Linked DNA regions of Coturnix japonica. The protein of the gene in region 1 interacts with the protein of each later gene in a pairwise test. Links are inferred from orthologs where the notes say so. Each region holds a gene or a part of one and is shown in the gene's direction. Other genes may lie near its edges.

The links. The genes of interacting proteins can lie anywhere in the genome.
Region 2: the proteins of RTN4 (region 1) and SYT16 interact in binary tests that used the Homo sapiens proteins (3 or more experiments, as listed by UniProt). The link is inferred for Coturnix japonica from reciprocal best matches to the Homo sapiens genes RTN4 and SYT16.
Region 3: the proteins of RTN4 (region 1) and CERT1 interact in binary tests that used the Homo sapiens proteins (3 or more experiments, as listed by UniProt). The link is inferred for Coturnix japonica from reciprocal best matches to the Homo sapiens genes RTN4 and CERT1.
Region 4: the proteins of RTN4 (region 1) and SPG21 interact in a two-hybrid assay, tested with the Homo sapiens proteins (2 studies listed by BioGRID and IntAct). The two-hybrid records come from large-scale screens. The link is inferred for Coturnix japonica from reciprocal best matches to the Homo sapiens genes RTN4 and SPG21.

The regions. Positions count from the first base shown.
Region 1 is NC_029518.1:5,127,621-5,132,105, reverse strand, and holds part of RTN4 (reticulon-4), read left to right. Parts: coding exon 1-627; intron 628-4,485. UniProt on the Homo sapiens protein: Required to induce the formation and stabilization of endoplasmic reticulum (ER) tubules. They regulate membrane morphogenesis in the ER by promoting tubular ER production.
Region 2 is NC_029520.1:48,965,882-48,970,366, reverse strand, and holds part of SYT16 (synaptotagmin-16), read left to right. Parts: intron 1-254; coding exon 255-568; 3' UTR 569-4,485. UniProt on the Homo sapiens protein: May be involved in the trafficking and exocytosis of secretory vesicles in non-neuronal tissues. Is Ca(2+)-independent.
Region 3 is NC_029547.1:21,923,247-21,927,153, forward strand, and holds part of CERT1 (ceramide transfer protein), read left to right. Parts: intron 1-145; coding exon 146-216; intron 217-1,494; coding exon 1,495-1,623; intron 1,624-2,082; coding exon 2,083-2,212; intron 2,213-3,461; coding exon 3,462-3,589; 3' UTR 3,590-3,598; intron 3,599-3,907. UniProt on the Homo sapiens protein: Shelters ceramides and diacylglycerol lipids inside its START domain and mediates the intracellular trafficking of ceramides and diacylglycerol lipids in a non-vesicular manner.
Region 4 is NC_029525.1:16,062,056-16,065,628, reverse strand, and holds part of SPG21 (maspardin), read left to right. Parts: intron 1-1,145; coding exon 1,146-1,307; intron 1,308-1,416; coding exon 1,417-1,497; intron 1,498-2,092; coding exon 2,093-2,238; intron 2,239-2,742; coding exon 2,743-2,851; intron 2,852-3,335; coding exon 3,336-3,443; intron 3,444-3,573. UniProt on the Homo sapiens protein: May play a role as a negative regulatory factor in CD4-dependent T-cell activation.

The DNA.
Region 1 (4,485 bases):
TCCAAGCTGAACTAGACTCTTCCAAAATTGTTAGCACTCAGCCATCTGAGCCCACACCTGCAAAGATAGCCAAGGCAGAGAAGATTCCACTTCAGATGGAAGAACTGAACACTCTGGCTTATTCAACTGATGTATCTATTGCTACGGAACCAAAACCAGGTGATGGCAAAGGTCTCTCACCTATTGAATCTTCTCCTGTCTCAGAAGACGACTTTGTGATGCTAGTTGATCCTAAAACTGGTCCCGAGTTTGTGGCTGAAGTCACTGATAAAGAAACAGTGCACAAAAATGAAAGCGAAGAGACCAGTAATGAGATCAGAGATGAGAAGAGGCGGTTGCCTTGCCCAGAGCTGCCCTGTGATCTGTCTGTAAAGAATGTAGAAATGAAAACTGATGAAGATGCTCATGCCTTGAAAAAGTCCTTGCAGGCTGTGGACAGAGAAGTGCCTGAAGTGTCCATGGTGTCCTTACCAGCCACAGATACCTCACCTTTACCTACTGAAGAAGAAACAGTCAGTGTAGGAAAGCCAGAAGCTTTTCAGAAGGAAGCTGAGAGAGGAGCTGCTTCTGCTAAAGAAAAGGAAAAACCTACTGCAGTCTTTTCAGCAAAGCTGAATATATCTTCAGGTAATCTGTGTTCACTGTCTTGCAGTTCACTAATCTCCATAACCTTTAGCTACACTTAAACATGCTACGACTTACTCTTTTTTTTTAAGTTACTTTCTGTAAACTACCCTGTTTAAGCAGAGGGTAACAAACTAATGTTAGAGCCTGTGCTCTCACCTTTTCATATTTTGACTGCTTCAGTCCCTTTTTTTTATCATGTTTATCAGGAGTGGTCTCACTGTCTTCAGTTTTCTTCGGTTCTCCTGCTGGTGATCTGTTGGTGTGCAGATAAGTCACTACTCACTGTAAGCTTTTCTGTGCTTGTCTACAGGCTGAGCATTAGAGGCCTTCCGGACTTGCTGTACACAATAGTAAACCAGGGATGGTATCTCAGTCTACTCCATGTGCACAAGAGGCATTTTTTCTTTTCATGCAGAATTCAGTTAAACAACAGACTTCAAAGCTTGGGAAAACGTCCTTTCTGCTGTGGTACATACAGCTTATGCCTGGAAAAGAACATGCACAGCTCCACTCATGTGATTTACAGCCTGTAGTAGGTCCCTGCCAGAAATAAATAGTGCACAAGGGAGCTAAGTGCTCAGTTTAGTAGGAAAAGTGACCATTAAGAAAGTGAGTGTTCCTGCAACCGTTAAGATCGGTTTGCACACAGCACAGATAATTTTCAAATGGAACTTCCATTTCAGTGTTTGGTTGTGGTATTGTTGTTTTTCATCCAGTAATGTGCTATTTAAAGTAGAAGAGAGTTAAAAGAAGGTTTCCCCTGGCATTAATTCTAAACCATATGCGTTATGGAGTTCCAGCTTCCCGTAGACTGGAGAAGTACTTTGCTGTTTTGATGCTGTGGTACTCTGCTGCTGAACAGAGTTGTACTTCTGTGACATGCCTGAAGATTCTAACAAGACACAAATCCATTAATAAAATCAATTGTCTGCTTTTATTACCAAACTTCTTCCAATTAGCAGTCAGAATAATGAAACAAAGAACTAACAGTTGCCTTTCACTCTGAGAAAGGGCAGATAATTAATCACAGGGCCTGGATCTGTGATCTGTGCTGTGTGTTCTTCTGAGCCTTGCTTTTTTGTGCTGTCCTCGAATACTTACTCATTGGCGCTGCTTGTTGTAAGCCAACTCAAATGCAAGCATACCTCTGTGTGCCTGAAAATGTACCTCCTGACAGCCCCAGGACGCTGCAGGCAGATGGTAAGAAGTGGTTGCAGATTTATTTAGTTATTAAATACACTCCATGACTCCAATAAAGCCAACAGAGCTTTGAGCAACCTCACTGGCAGATCCGGCTTTAAAGCTGTATGGCTGACCTTCATGTAGCCTAGCATGTTCTATGAGGGTGTCAGACCACAGGGGCCTTGTCCTTCACTGTGGCACAGATGTGGAAACAAACAAAAGTAAGTTCTGAATTGGTTTGGGTTTAACTATGGAGAAACCCATCCTCATGTAAGTAGTTCCTACTTAAAGCAGTTTTAACAGATCACTTCTTTTTACCTTGCAACACCAGCAGCTGCTGCTGTTAAACATTTGCATGTCATCTTTGGAGATTGTGCCAGGCGTTCCTTTTTTCCCCATCCCTTTCTCAGTATATTCTGTACTTGGCTTCCTGTCCCCTTCTCAGTATGTGCTCCTTTTTTCCCATCCCTTTCTCAGTATGTGCTGTACTTGGCTTCCTAGCAGATAACCCTGTTGCTTTGCTCTCATGCCAGCCGGACTTTAAAACCCATTTCTGACATCCATAAAACTACTGTGTATGAAGGTTGACTTCAGCATGGATTTTGTTGTGATGCTGCACTGTGGCACAGAAGGCATGGCTCCAGCCACTGGGTGTGGGCAGCCAGCAGTGACTGTTAGGGGGTTGCTTTACAGCCTACTTATAAAATAGGATTTGGATGCCATCTAGTGTTCGTGAATGAGCACTGACTCAAGTGAAACTAGGCTTTCAAAGGATGATATTTGGGAAGTTTTGACTTAATGTTTCTAGAGTCAGAAGATAAATGTGTTACGTATCTTACTCCTTTTGTTGTACAGACTTGCTTCACTTAACAGTATTTTCTTTACTTGTTGATAGAGATCATTAGTTCTCACGAATATAGCAGAAAGCCATCTTGATATGAGCTTATTTTGGCAGGTGGAGGTTTTTCACAGCATGGCCCAGGTTGGAACGGACCTGAAGGATCGTGAATCTCCAACCCCCCTGCCAGGCAGGGCCACCAGCCTTCCCATTTACTAGACCAGGTTGTCCAGGGCCCCATCCAACCTGGCCTTGAACACCTCCAGGAACAGGGCATCCACAGCCTCTCTGGGCAGCTTGTTTCAGGACCTCACCACTCTCATGGTAAAGAACTTCCCTCCTTCAACTTAAAACCATTTCCCCTTGTCTTGCTGTTATCCACTCTTACAGAAAAAGAGTTTACTCCCCTCCTGGTTATAGGCTCCCTTCAGGTACTGGAAGGCTGCAGTTAGGTCACCCCACAGCCTTTTCTCCATGCTGAACAAGCCCAGCTCCCTCAGCCTATCATTGGTAGGGGAGGTACTCCAGCCCCCTGATCATCTTCATGGCTCACCTCTGGACCCTTTCCAGCAGCTCTCTGTCTTGTACTGGGGGCTCCATACCTGGACACAGTACTCCAGATGGGGCCTCACAAGAGCAGAGAGGGACAATCACCTCCCTGTCCCTGCTGGCCACCTCTCTCCTGATGGAGTCCGGGGTACCGTTTGCTTTCTGAGCTGCAGGAGCACACTGCTGTCTCATGTTAAGTTTCTTATCCATCAGGGCCCCCAGGTCCTTCTCTTCAGGGCTGCTTTCAGTGACTACTCCTTCTAGTCTGTATAGACGTCTGGGATTCCTCCAGCCCAAAGTGCAAAACCTTGCACTTTGCTCTGTTGAACCTCAGGTTCACCTGGTCCTATATTTTAAGTCTGTTGAGGTCCCTCTAAATGGCATCTCTTCTTTCCACTGTGTCAACTGCACCACTCAGCTCAGTGTCATCAGCAAACTTGTTGAGGGTGCGCTCAATTCTGTTTGTTGATGTAATTGATAAAGATGTTAAAGAGCACCAGTCCCAAGACAGACCCCTGGGGGGCACTGCTTGTTACCGGCCTCCTCCTGGACACAGAACCATTAATCACCACCCTCTCTCTGCGGCCTTTCAGCCAATTTCTTATCCATTGAGTGGGACACCCATCAAATCCACATCCCTACAATGGAGTGATAAGGATGTTGTGGGGCACCATATCAAAGGCCTTGCTCAAGTCCAGGTAAATGACATTGGTTGCCTTCCCCTTGTCCACCAATGCTGTCACTCCATCATAGAAGGCCACAAGATTGGTTAAGCATGACCTTCTGGTGAAGCTGTGCTGGCAGTCTTGGATCACACGCTCATTCCTCATGTGATCAAGCGTGTCATTCAGGAGGATCTGTTCCATGATCTTCCCAGGCACAGAGGTGAGTCTCACTGGCCTGTAGTTCCCTAGGTCCTCCTTGCTCCCTTTCTTGTATATGGGAGTGATGTGACCCTCCAGTCATCCGGGACATCACTTGACAGCCATGACTTTTTAAATATGATGGAGAACGGCTCAGCAACCACCTCAGCCAGCTCCTTCAGAACCCTGGGATGCATGCCATCCAGCCCCATAGACTTGTATGCATTCAGTCTCATGAGGTGGTCTCGGACTTGCTCTGCCCTTACAGTAGGGAGGGATTTACTGCCCCAGTCCCCACACAGAGATTTAGGGATGCAGGACTCAGGGATTTAAGAAATACTGGAATCCTGGCTGCCAGTGAAGGCAAAGAACTCATTCAGTACCTCAGCCTTCTCTTTGTCCATTGAAACCAGTTCTCCTTTTACA
Region 2 (4,485 bases), on another chromosome or scaffold:
ATTTCCAAGAGTATAGGTCTGAATCACATATTTGCTTCCTTCCATTCTTCTCCCCAGCTGGACATGAGGAAGTCCAAGGGTTGCTCTCATCTACTGCTCTTCATCCCTTGAATGAAGGAGATAGGTCCAACCCTCACCTTATATGCAGTGCAGACAAAGCTGCTTGGAGTTTTTGGAGTGATTTCTGACTACTTGGGGCTTCCATTTAATCTGTTAACTCTGCCAAACATTTTATTTTCTGTGTTTTGTCCTAGATACCTATGGAAAGCTTTGCCTGCTCAACTCTGTGGGCCAGGAGATGTCTCGCTGCAAGACCTCCATCCGTCGAGGGCAGCCCAACCCCGTCTACAAAGAAACTTTCATCTTCCAGGTTGCCCTCTTCCAGCTCTCCGATGTCACACTAATGATCTCCATATACAACAAACGCAGCATGAAACGCAAAGAGATGATCGGCTGGATCTCCATGGGGCAGAACAGCAGTGGAGAAGAAGAGCAAAGTCATTGGCAGGAGATGAAAGAGTCAAAGGGGCTGCAGGTCTGCAGGTGGCACACATTGCTGGAGTCCTAATGGTAACCAGGGCAGCCTGTAGATCCTGGGACTGTGGGTTGTCTTCCCTCATTCTCAGTCAGCAGGAAGCAGCTGTCCCATGGCAAGCACTGTGCTCTGACAGGTCATGTACTCTTTAACCTGACTTTTCAGTATCATCTGTCAAGCATTAGAAGTGACAAGGCCTGGGAAGCAAGTTTAGTTTTTATCTTTCCAGGTTGCCCTGCATTTTCTACATCCAAATTAGTAACCTTAGGAAAAGCAAGGGCAAACCTACAAGATCCTCCCTTTCTTGCTCATTTTATCATATGTCTAATCATCACAGTTTGATTTTGATGCTGTTTTCTTCTGGAGTAAATTCTCTGATCCTTTCCTTATTTATATTAATGAAGTCTGCAAACATTCTTGACACGCAGATAGCTCACAGATAGGCTAAACTGCATGCAGATCACATTTTCCTCTCTTTTATTATCTTATTTTTTAAGTCCTAGAAATGAACATTTGGTAGCACTATAGACTGGATTTTTCAGGCAGCATGGGAAAGCACTGTTGAATACTCTGTCAACTTTAAAGTGCCTAGGCGTTATTACTGTTTCTGATACTAACTGATAGTGTTTATTTGGACTTAATACTGCCAGTATTCTTAATTAGCATCCCGTGCACTTGTTAGCCTGTATTGCCACAGAGATTGCATGAGGGATAACTAATAGCGGTTTTATATTGTGATTATACAATGCATGTTTGGATGCTTACTTGAAGTTCAAGGCTTCTGTCATCATGAATACCAAAAAAAACAAAGACCAGAACAAGCTGCACGTCCACCTTTGTGCCTGAATCACTCTTTTCTGCATCACTGTTTTGATTATGTGTTATTTTGTTCACTTGTAAAAGTGAGTTTCATTCAGAAAAGCATTTCTGTGAGCATTATACAGAAAAGCTTTTGATCCACGATTTCACTGTTGTTCAGTTAAGCACAGCTCAAGTTTGCTGAGGGCTCTTGTCCAAATGGGCTATCTGTAGTATGTTTGGGATCTGGAAAGAGAACCATTTTTGGCATGTTGAGCAGTAAAGAATGCCAGACCAAGTCACCTCATCTTTGGGACAGTCTCTCCTACAAGAGCAGGTAAAATAGGATCCAGGGGACCCATGCCTAGAGGGGCAGCTTTCAGGGAGCAGGATCCCTGGATGAAGCGATGGCACTTCAAGGTAGTTACTTTTCAGACCATTTTGTTATTTTCCATTTTCATCATTTTTTTCCCATTTCCATCAGTTAAACTTGTAGAGTCAGTGGCAAGGGAAGAAGTCTTCATTTGCTTGATTTCTGAACATTGAGCTCTCATTAGCTGCTGGAAAACTGCATGTGACGCAGCTGAGGACGTGGATTCTCTAGGGCAGTGATGGTATGTAGACAGAAAGGTGCCAAGATACTCACATACCATCAGCTACCTAAATTTAATTCCTGGAGCTCCTTAGGAGAGGATTGGCATTTCTTCATCCCTTCTGATGATAGGAAGGAAATATTATGCTGGAAAGGTTCGGGTTTTTTTGTTCTGAATCACCTCGTGTTTTGTTTTTGTCGTTTACTAGTCTGGCACCAAATTCCATCTCTTGCACCACAGCTGTTTCCTTCCATTCAATGGTGCTGTGCAAGTTTCAGCATTGGCTGTTAAACCAAAATTGAGTCTGGGTGCTGGTTTGCATCACACTCAGGCTAGTGATCACCCACTGGGCAGTGGTGTGGTAGATACAGGTTATCAGTTGGTGTAATACACACAGGCTTTGTCTGTCCTCACATGGCAGCCCACCAAGTGAGGATAATCTCACAGAAGAAGATTTCTGGTGTGGGTGAGACAGACCCTACAGATCGTATGTTCTTGTATGTTCTTTACACTTACCTGCCTGGGCATCATTTTCCAGTGGGACTGGTGGCTGTCCTATGCAGGAGGATTGTCCTCCACTGCCTAGATAAGCTGGCACAATATCTGCTTTGCACTACTGGGGCTTTGTATTTCAAATCAGGATCTAACTCAAAAACAACTGCATTTTTGACTGCACTGTTAATTCTGCTGCGTTGCCAATAGGAGAGAGAACAAGCATCTGAGTGGTAATAAGCAAACCAGTCTAAATGTGGCTTTTTGCTTTCTTAATCATATATTTTTCTTCTGGAAGAAGTACAGAAAACAGACCAAATCAAAAGGTGCATTTGCTGATTTCAGTCGTTTTCCAATCTCTGCATAATTTTTCTGAACTGCATGAAAATGTATATACAAGTGTTTATAAGTAATTTTATTATCTGAGATGTGTATAATAAACTTATGCAGATTCTCTTAGTATCTTCTTGAACCTGTAAAGTGTTGCTTTATGCTTAATTTAATGATTAGCTAAGGGAATGGTATCAATTGGTAGTATGCTTCACAAGTGAACCGGGGATAACCCTGATTTATAATTGTGTGATTAAAAAGAATTATTGGAAAGGTTAGCTTTAAAAAGCAACAAGGTGAGCTCATTTGGGACATACGTGCTGTTTTCATACCTAGATCTTTTCTGAAGATGCAGCACAAACTGACATCAGCATCCATAGAGTCTGTTGATATCTGAGCATGTGTTAAAACTTCGCTCTCAGATGGAAGCAGCTTCCCGCATCATTGCAATAACGTTTTGGCCTGATGTTTTACAAGAAAATAATGGTGGGAAGGAGAAAGGGATGAGGTGGGGGGAGCACTGTTTGGAGCTGCTTCCAGATCTGTTGGCACATCCGTGCCTTGAGCAGAACATGAGCAAAGTTCATTAAATTCCTACCGAAGCACGGAGGAATTGATGACTCTTGGGCTGAGTGGTGTTGGGGGTGCTCATGTTTGCTAGCTGTATTTCAGGACTTTGGTTAGTTTTCTGGTTTGTTTTTCTTTAGAGTATTGACTGTCTGTGAAATGAAGAAGGCTTAGCTGCAGCTCCCCTTTATTTCAGAGCTCCTGTAATTCTTTTCATAGACAGATTGAATTAGTTATTGTTAACATTGGTACAGGCTGGCCTTGTGCTCCTGGTCTTTCACATGTAAACACCACTGCCCTTTCAGTCACTGCTATAACCCCTCGTTTCCTTTAGAAGTGGCTGAGAAATCAGAATTTCCAGGCATGCTTCCATTCCTTTGGAATCCTGCCTCACACTTGGCTCTCCATAGGTGATAGTCACTGGAGCTGGGCCCTGTTCCCCTCTGGCTTCCATCCCCATGTGCACTGTGCTGGGTCCCTGCTCCTGTGGGGGCTCCAGAAGAGGAGGAGGGCCATGGGGTGAGCAGCTGACCTGCTTCTGGGAATGCTTGGGTGCTTGTATGGCCTGACTATGCAGTTATTGCTGTGTAGTGCAGAATAATGCACGTTTTCTAAGATAATTTATCTCCTTTGGCACCGCTGTCTGGAATCCCCAGAGATAATATTTGAATTTTCTTCTCTAGGAGGGAGAAAGAAAAAAGCTCCAAAGCCACAAAACCTTTGTGTGGGAAGGAACTAACTGCACTGGCTTAATCCCAGGATGCTGTGGGCAAAGTGCTCTGGATCCATCTCTATCTCGAGCAGCATCACTCAGCTAGCTGCAGTCTGTTCCTTCCTTGGTCTCTGTCCAGCAGCACATCCCTGTCCTGCTAGGCACTCTGCTGTTATTTTATTTCTTGTTTTTAATGTGTATTGACAACAGAACAGAATGATCTCACCACGTTTGTATTCTCTGCAGTAATGCCAACTTTCAACTGATGCCCACAGAACCGAGTACCTCTTTTAGCCCACTGTGCTGCAGAGGTAGCTGACTGACGTGGCTGTTTGTGAAGGCTTTCTCTGGGCTGTCTGCAGCATGATTTGGTTAGTTTGGGTTTCCTTTCTACCACTGGCTTTAGTTACTCTGGCCCTACTGTGCAATGCTCTGTCACAGAGTAATGTGGCTGTGTG
Region 3 (3,907 bases), on another chromosome or scaffold:
ACTAAGAAATACTTGAGAGAAGTCTCACGATGATAACAGCCAGCTCTTTCAGTGCCATGGAATTAATCCCATCAGGCCCTGCTCAGATCCTGATTCAGACTTGCTTTTGTGCTTGTTTACTGATCTTTTTTTTCCTGCTTTTCAGCAACAATTGAAAACTTCCATGTTGTGGAAAATTTAGCTGATAATGCAATCATCATTTACCAGACGCATAAGGTAAGAATTACGTGTCACCTATGTACACACCCTACCAAAACAGCACTCTGACTTGTTTTGAAATACTTCAGTGGCATATATTTTGCCAAAACAAAAAATTTTGCTTAAAAAGCAAACTAGCTGAGAACAAGTTCTTTAAGGAACTGCAACGCTGTCAACTTTCTGAGCTTGGCTAGGTAGCATAATTGGTTGCGAATGTGTCTGCCACAGTATGTAACAAGAAATGAGAGCTGTTCATTATTATCTGTAATACTATCATTTCCAGCTAGGCAGTGGTTATCTAAAGCAAACTGAAGCAATAAGTCAACATTGACTACAAGCAAGAAACTCATACCACTTCATCATTTGTCTTTTTTCAGTAATGCAAGCTATTGTTAACTACAAATATTTAACAAAAGCATTAGCATTATGACATGGTACATGCTGGTTTAATATTTGGTATAATATTTTGTTTTCTGGTCACTCACCGCCCTGTGAGTGAAAATCTAACATAAATCTCCCCTGTCTTAGTTCAAAACCATTCCACCTTGTCCTATCACTGTCCAGCCATGTAAACTTAAATCTTGCATGATGGCAAGTACTGGCATACTCAGATACTTGAACAACTAGACGATTAACTTAGACAATTTTACCAGTGAGGGTATTACCTTAAAGATGCCATAACAAGAAGGCTTCAATATTCTGTTGAGTCAACTGTAGCGTTATGGTAAAAACAATATTTTTGCTTCTACTGAATATCAGGAAAATAGTTTCTGTATAGTTTCTTTTTTTTTTGGGGGGGTGGGGTGCTTGAAATTGTGAAATTAACTGTTGGAAACCATCAGTTTATCACTTCTGTCTTGCTGAAGTAGTAGCTCTTAAAAATACTAGTTAAAATATTTATTTCTTTATTCCCTCATGTGTATGGAGACCTACATGCATAGTCAGACTTTAGATGCATGTATTTATACTTAGCCACTAGTGCTGCCTACAAGCAAAAGTCATTGCAGATTGTTTTTGGGCCTTAAATTTTTGCCTTATTTCTTTTTTAATCAAGTGCAGCTGCATAACCTGATAGGCTACAATATAGGTACAAGAGTGAGACTGCTAAGAGTGCAGTTGTTCCCACTGCACTTTGGTTAATGAAGACCTTAAAGAGAACTAATTTCAACTATTTTTTTTACTTAGATAACATGTCTGACCTTGTTAACCTTAACTGCTTTGACCTTCTTATTTAAGAACAAAAAGTACTTAATTTGTAACATTTTGAAAAGCTTACAATGGGATATTTCTCTGCAGAGAGTGTGGCCAGCTTCTCAAAGGGACGTGCTGTATCTGTCTGCTATCAGAAAGATACCAGCATTCAGTGAAAATGACCCTGAAACGTGGATTGTGTGCAATTTCTCTGTGGAACATGACAGTGCTCCTGTAAGTGCTGCTTTTGCTCTATCTCTACTTTAAGAATTTTTCTATTCGGTTTTTCCTCGCAGTTTTTCTGTTACATGGTGATGGTGTTGCAGTACAAATGTGAAGTAGGCTGGGGGCTGAGGGAGGTATGCAAAATACAGGTTCTTTTTTAAATGCGTTGATACACTGGCCTGTGTGTTCCAAGACAAAAGCTTTTTTTGCCGTATTTCAAAAAGTGTTGCAGAAGAAGAAAAACAAAATATATGAAAACATTTTAAAGAGGTGCAATTTCATGCTGAATTACAGTGATAAATCTTTTGTTTGCATTCGTGGTATATCACAGTGCTGGAAAGCAAATTCTTCAAAAAACAAACTCTGGATTGTCTTAAACTTTATAGCAAATGAAAATGTTAGCAGTCAAGAAGGAGGAATTAAGTTTACTTTGAGGCTTACCAATGTTTCTTCATTTTTCTCTGGTAGCTGAACAATCGCTGTGTCCGTGCCAAAATAAATATCGCTATGATATGTCAGACATTAGTAAGTCCACCAGAGGGGAACAAAGAAATAAGCAGAGACAATATTCTATGCAAGATTACATATGTAGCTAATGGTGAGTATTCATCTTTTCTGTGTCTTTTTTCAGTGTGACCTTTGTGATATATGCTAATTCTGGTGAACTAAGTGCTAGCAAGAAAAAAAGTCAGTGCAGCTTTCTGTTAAACGTAGGACAATGTTTTTAATCTGTGTTCAAAAAGATTTGAATTAATGTGATATGTAGCATCATTGACGGTGGTCACTTATGGTGTAGCATCAGGGCAGGAGTAGAGTTTAGCTTAAGTACAGAAACTCAGGTGGAGGAGGTGAGGTAGATTATCTGCGTATTGGATGGCTTGGCTTATAGTTTCAATAATGTTGTGTTTTGCTGTCTTTTTTCCCCCTGATTCATCCAAGGCTAAAAAACTCAGTACTTAAGAAGGTACAAATACATTTTTTTTATGAGGATATTTGCAAGCTGCATAACTGAGTTACATATTTTTATCTTTTTTAACTGAAGGAATCCTTGGTGTAGACTGTAAATTTATTGAAGCCAAACTGTACCCAGTATTTAGCAGTGTGTTGCAGTACTGGCCCCACATACCTGTTAGATCATCTCCTGCTACAAAGCACTTTCAGATTAGCTCACCTGCCTATTATTTTTAACCAGCTATTATACAACTTACTAAAGAAGCCTGCAAAATGAGTTCAGTAAATATTTGCAATGTAGGAGTGATACAGCTTGTATTAAATCCTGTACAAATAATGTGATATAATTCTATCCTCTGGGGAAAGGTTGTTTGGTTTTTTTCCTATTCAGAAGTTTTCCAATTATTTGAAATATATACTTCCATGACAAATGCTGAACTCTCATTGTATGGTAAGTGGCAGCTTGTTCAGCAAAATTTAAACATATTTTGAAGTCCTTCAAAAATCATTTGTAAGAGGTTGAATGTGTAGCAGTTCTGCAGACAAATTCAGCAGTAACTGGAAAGGTAAGATTGATTTCTCTTCTATTTGAAATAAGGATTTGATTCTTTCCATTTGTTTTCTTGGAAGAATGTCACCTTCCATGTGGGTAGGACTTAAAAGATTGACATGGCCTTATTTTATTGTTTTCTAAATAATGGCATTGTAGACCTGGAGTGAATGTGAATATTAAGAGCTGTAAACAGTACAGTACGGGCTGTAACGGCCTAAAAGAAGTTCTGATTATTCATTGTTGTTTCTTTGGAGGAAGTTGCAGGAATACAGACTTACATTCTTGTATGCAGCTTTTAGAGGATGTTCTGTGTTTCAGTGCCTTTCTTCCTGTTTTCTTCTAGTCAACCCAGGAGGGTGGGCACCAGCATCTGTGTTACGGGCAGTGGCAAAACGAGAATATCCCAAATTCCTGAAGCGTTTTACGTCATACGTGCAAGAGAAAACAGCTGGAAAACCTATTTTATTCTAGTATTAGCAGGTACAGGCTCATTTTTGATTTCTTAATTCATTGCTGTAAATGTTTAAGGCCAAACAGAAGCATGCAATCTAGAAATGTTTCATCATAATTAGCATCAATACAACATTCAGTATTAATACATGTACGCAATATTTCCCAATCACTTAATCTGTCAGACATAAGTACAAGATAAGGCTTTTCTTGATTTTTTTTTTCCTTAGAGTGTAGACTGTGCCTTTGAATTCCAACAGCACAGTAGTATCTGAGAGCTCTAGTTTAGAGCAAGATTTGAAAGCGCATTCTGTACATGACACAGGCCACATCTACTGT
Region 4 (3,573 bases), on another chromosome or scaffold:
AGTGGCTTCAGTGGTCTGGGAAGCCCTGCTATGTAATCTGTCTTTCTTTGTTTCTCTTGGAGATCTCACAAAACAGCAGTATCATGTGATTCCTCACATGTTCCCAGAGCTTGAAATACCGGCTTTATTACAAGCAGATTTGTTAATCAAGCAAAAATGATACACTGTTCTCTAACTCCCTGAGCAGCTTAATTGCTGTGATGGGAAAGTGAATTATGCTTCTATGCTGCTATTCAAAAAATTACAGAATCTTGACACGTGGATGAACTCCTGCTGTGCGATGCAGCTTTCCTTAGATTTGTGACTGTTGATCTGGAATGAGCTGCATGCTTTTTGCTGGGGTGATGAGGGTTGAAACCAGCATGCTAAATACACACAACAGCTTGTTGGTAGGTCAGGCCCTGTAAAAGCGAGCCAGGCTTCAGCAAGGCTGGAGCAGACAATCGTTACCTAATTCCTATACTTCTGAATATACTATTTCTGCTGTGACTTCTTGCTTCTGGCATGTTACGTGCCCTCTGTGAGCAGCTTGTGGTGGATAATCTGCTTCATCCAGCTGTGTCGTAGGGACTCCAGGCTCTCCTGACATGTGCTTATTTCTTTCCAGGTCAGCTGTGCAGTGCTGCTCTGGGAGTTGAGTACATCCCTAGCAATCAGGTGTAACTGCTTTAAATCAATAATTTGCAGTTAGCAGCATAATTCAATAGACTCACACACATCCAGACCTGTAACATCTTTTGTCCAGTAAATAGGAGTTAGTTAAAAATCAGACCCTGGGGCAATGCAGGCTCTTCCAGCCTAAGGCTGCTGTTCTGGGTACTGTGAGCTGGCCCCATGGTTCTCTTTTGGGCCGTGGCACAGTGGCTCCAAGCATATTTCTCCTCATGTGGAACTGTATAAATGGGTCTGACAGTGCCCGGTTGTAGTTCTGTCTCCAGCTCCATCCTTGGAAACATCATTGCTTAGTAAACAGCCTTAGAGAAGAAAGTTGTTGTGAGAAATAAAAGCTGGTCTTATTCAATAGTTTTGGATACCGTAATATTTACTGAATGACAAATATTTTGTAGTAGCAATCCTGGAACATGCTTGAAGAAGCTCATTTCAGTCCTGTGTTTCTCACCCCTTCTCTTCTCCTCTTCTTCCAGATAATAGTAGATGATGATGACAGTAAAGTCTGGTCGCTGTACGATGCAGGACCCAGGAGCATTCGGTGCCCGCTCATATTTCTTCCTCCTGTAAGTGGAACTGCAGATGTGTTTTTCCAGCAAATTTTGGCACTGACTGGATGGGGTTACAGAGTTATTGCTGTGAGTATCATCTAGAAACCTTGAATGTGAGAATCAGTGTAACTTTGTAGCAGGAGGTTGACGTCTGATGATTAGAGACTGGCTTTTTGTGTCTTGTATATTGTTTCAGTTGCAGTACCCGGTGTACTGGGATCACCTTGAGTTCTGTGATGGATTCAGAAAACTGTTAGACCACCTTCAGCTGGATAAAGTGAGTGCCCAGAGATGGATATATAGCTGCCATAAAAACCTGATGCTTGAAGGCCTCATTTAAGAGCAAATGTGAAGTTCACAATGCAAAACCAGCCTATAAAGAGGCTGTGTTCTTTTGAAACTAGTTTATTTTTGAAAGGAAATTCCCTTGAAAATCTGACTGAATTCTCTGCTGTTGGAGGCTTATTACATTGGGTTGCTAACTGCATTTTTCTTTCTTGCTGAGATCCTGCTGAAGTTATCCTTCATAACTCACATTGTACAGAATATCACCATAAAGTACCTTGGATTGGAAAAAACATTGAATATAAAGTGAAATGATTACATTTTACTTAAGCACGATGAGCACACAGAAATTAGAAGCGTGATCAGGAAACGCTTCCTTTTTTTGGTATTTATCTCTTCTTGTAAATCAAAGAACCTACATTGAAGGCCTTTTTGTTCTGGTTTTGTTTTGTTTTGTTTTTCCAATTAAAAATGAGCTATAAGGACAAGGTAAAACTTGAAGGACTTTTTGTAACGTGGCCCTTAAGGGTCACTTAGTTCTCAAATGTAACATGACCTGTTTGTTTTGGTTTTCCTTTTTGAATTAGGTTCACCTTTTTGGAGCTTCTCTAGGAGGCTTCCTGGCTCAGAAATTTGCTGAATACACACACAAATCTCCCCGAGTTCAATCTCTGATTCTATGTAATGCCTTTAGCGACACTTCCATCTTCAATCAGACATGGACAGCAAACAGGTAAGGAAGACCGAGACAAGCAATGAGACTGGTGGCATTAATGTGTTTTCTGATGAAATTCCACACTGATCTGGTTCAACATGTGTTTAACTTGTTTTCAGCCTGCGTGCCTAATGGTGAGGGCTGGAATACATGTGACTTTTAAAACCATACTATAAAGGAAACAGAAGTTCTCACAATTGGGAGTGTGGAATTTGACAGACTCCTCCTGTATTTATTTCCTGTGATCATTTAAGGACGTGGTCAGACTTCAGAATTCTACTTGATTTCCAGCAAAACTTTTTAGAGTGAGGAAAGTGTTATTCACAATGTTTTTAATACACCCTTGCAATGCAGCAGCTTTCCAGAGCATTTCAGTCACATATCTGCAAGTTTTTCCATCTCTGCTCTTGAAGCATCTTCACGATTTCATTTGAAATTCTTGCACAAAAGTCAGTGCAAGAAAAGGGAAGACTTAAAAGAAAGCATCTTAATTCTGATTGTTACGTCTTGTTTCTGTTTTAGCTTTTGGTTAATGCCTGCTTTTATGCTGAAAAAAATTGTCCTTGGCAATTTTGCATCTGGTCCTGTAGACCCTGAAATGGCCGATGGGATTGATTTCATGGTGGACAGGGTAAGTGGCTGTGTGCTCCAATGGCTGTAATGTCAATCTTTGTGAGATATTCACTTAGTAGATGGGAGGTTGTAGATATTTCTGCTGCTTTCTTCATTTACTTACCCAGAAGTGAACAGTGGATGGATTCTCAGCAGGTGTTGGCTGCAACAGCTCTTGCAATTTAACTGGTGCTGTGATTTGTCTACCTTATTGTTCCATTTATCTATGTATATTGGAAGAGAGGTGGCTAAGAAAGAGATGGAAATGGGAATAAGTGCTGAGATAGTAGGCTATGCTCTAGAGGCAGGAACAATTAATTAAACGTTCTAAGTATTTGTCTCATGCAGCGAAATATTAAGATGGAACTATGATCTTCATCTGAAGTGCAGTCATGTTTCCCTTTAAAACTAAAGAGCTGTCTTCTCTTTGGCTCTGCTGTTATTATTGCATTAACTTCCTGCAGTGAAATATGTTATTAATCACAATTTGTCTCTACTGAAAGCTGGAGAGTCTGGGCCAGAGTGAGCTTGCCTCGAGACTTACCCTCAATTGCCAGAACTCTTATGTGGAACCTCATAAAATCCGAGACATCCCCGTAACTATTATGGATGTAAGTTTATTTCAGCTTAATTTTTTAAATACTTTTTTTTTTCTCCCAAACATCATTTCCTCCTCTTGGAAAGCAGGGCCTGGATATTGTGTTCACAACTTAATAAATATTTGCACCATCTAATTTTGTA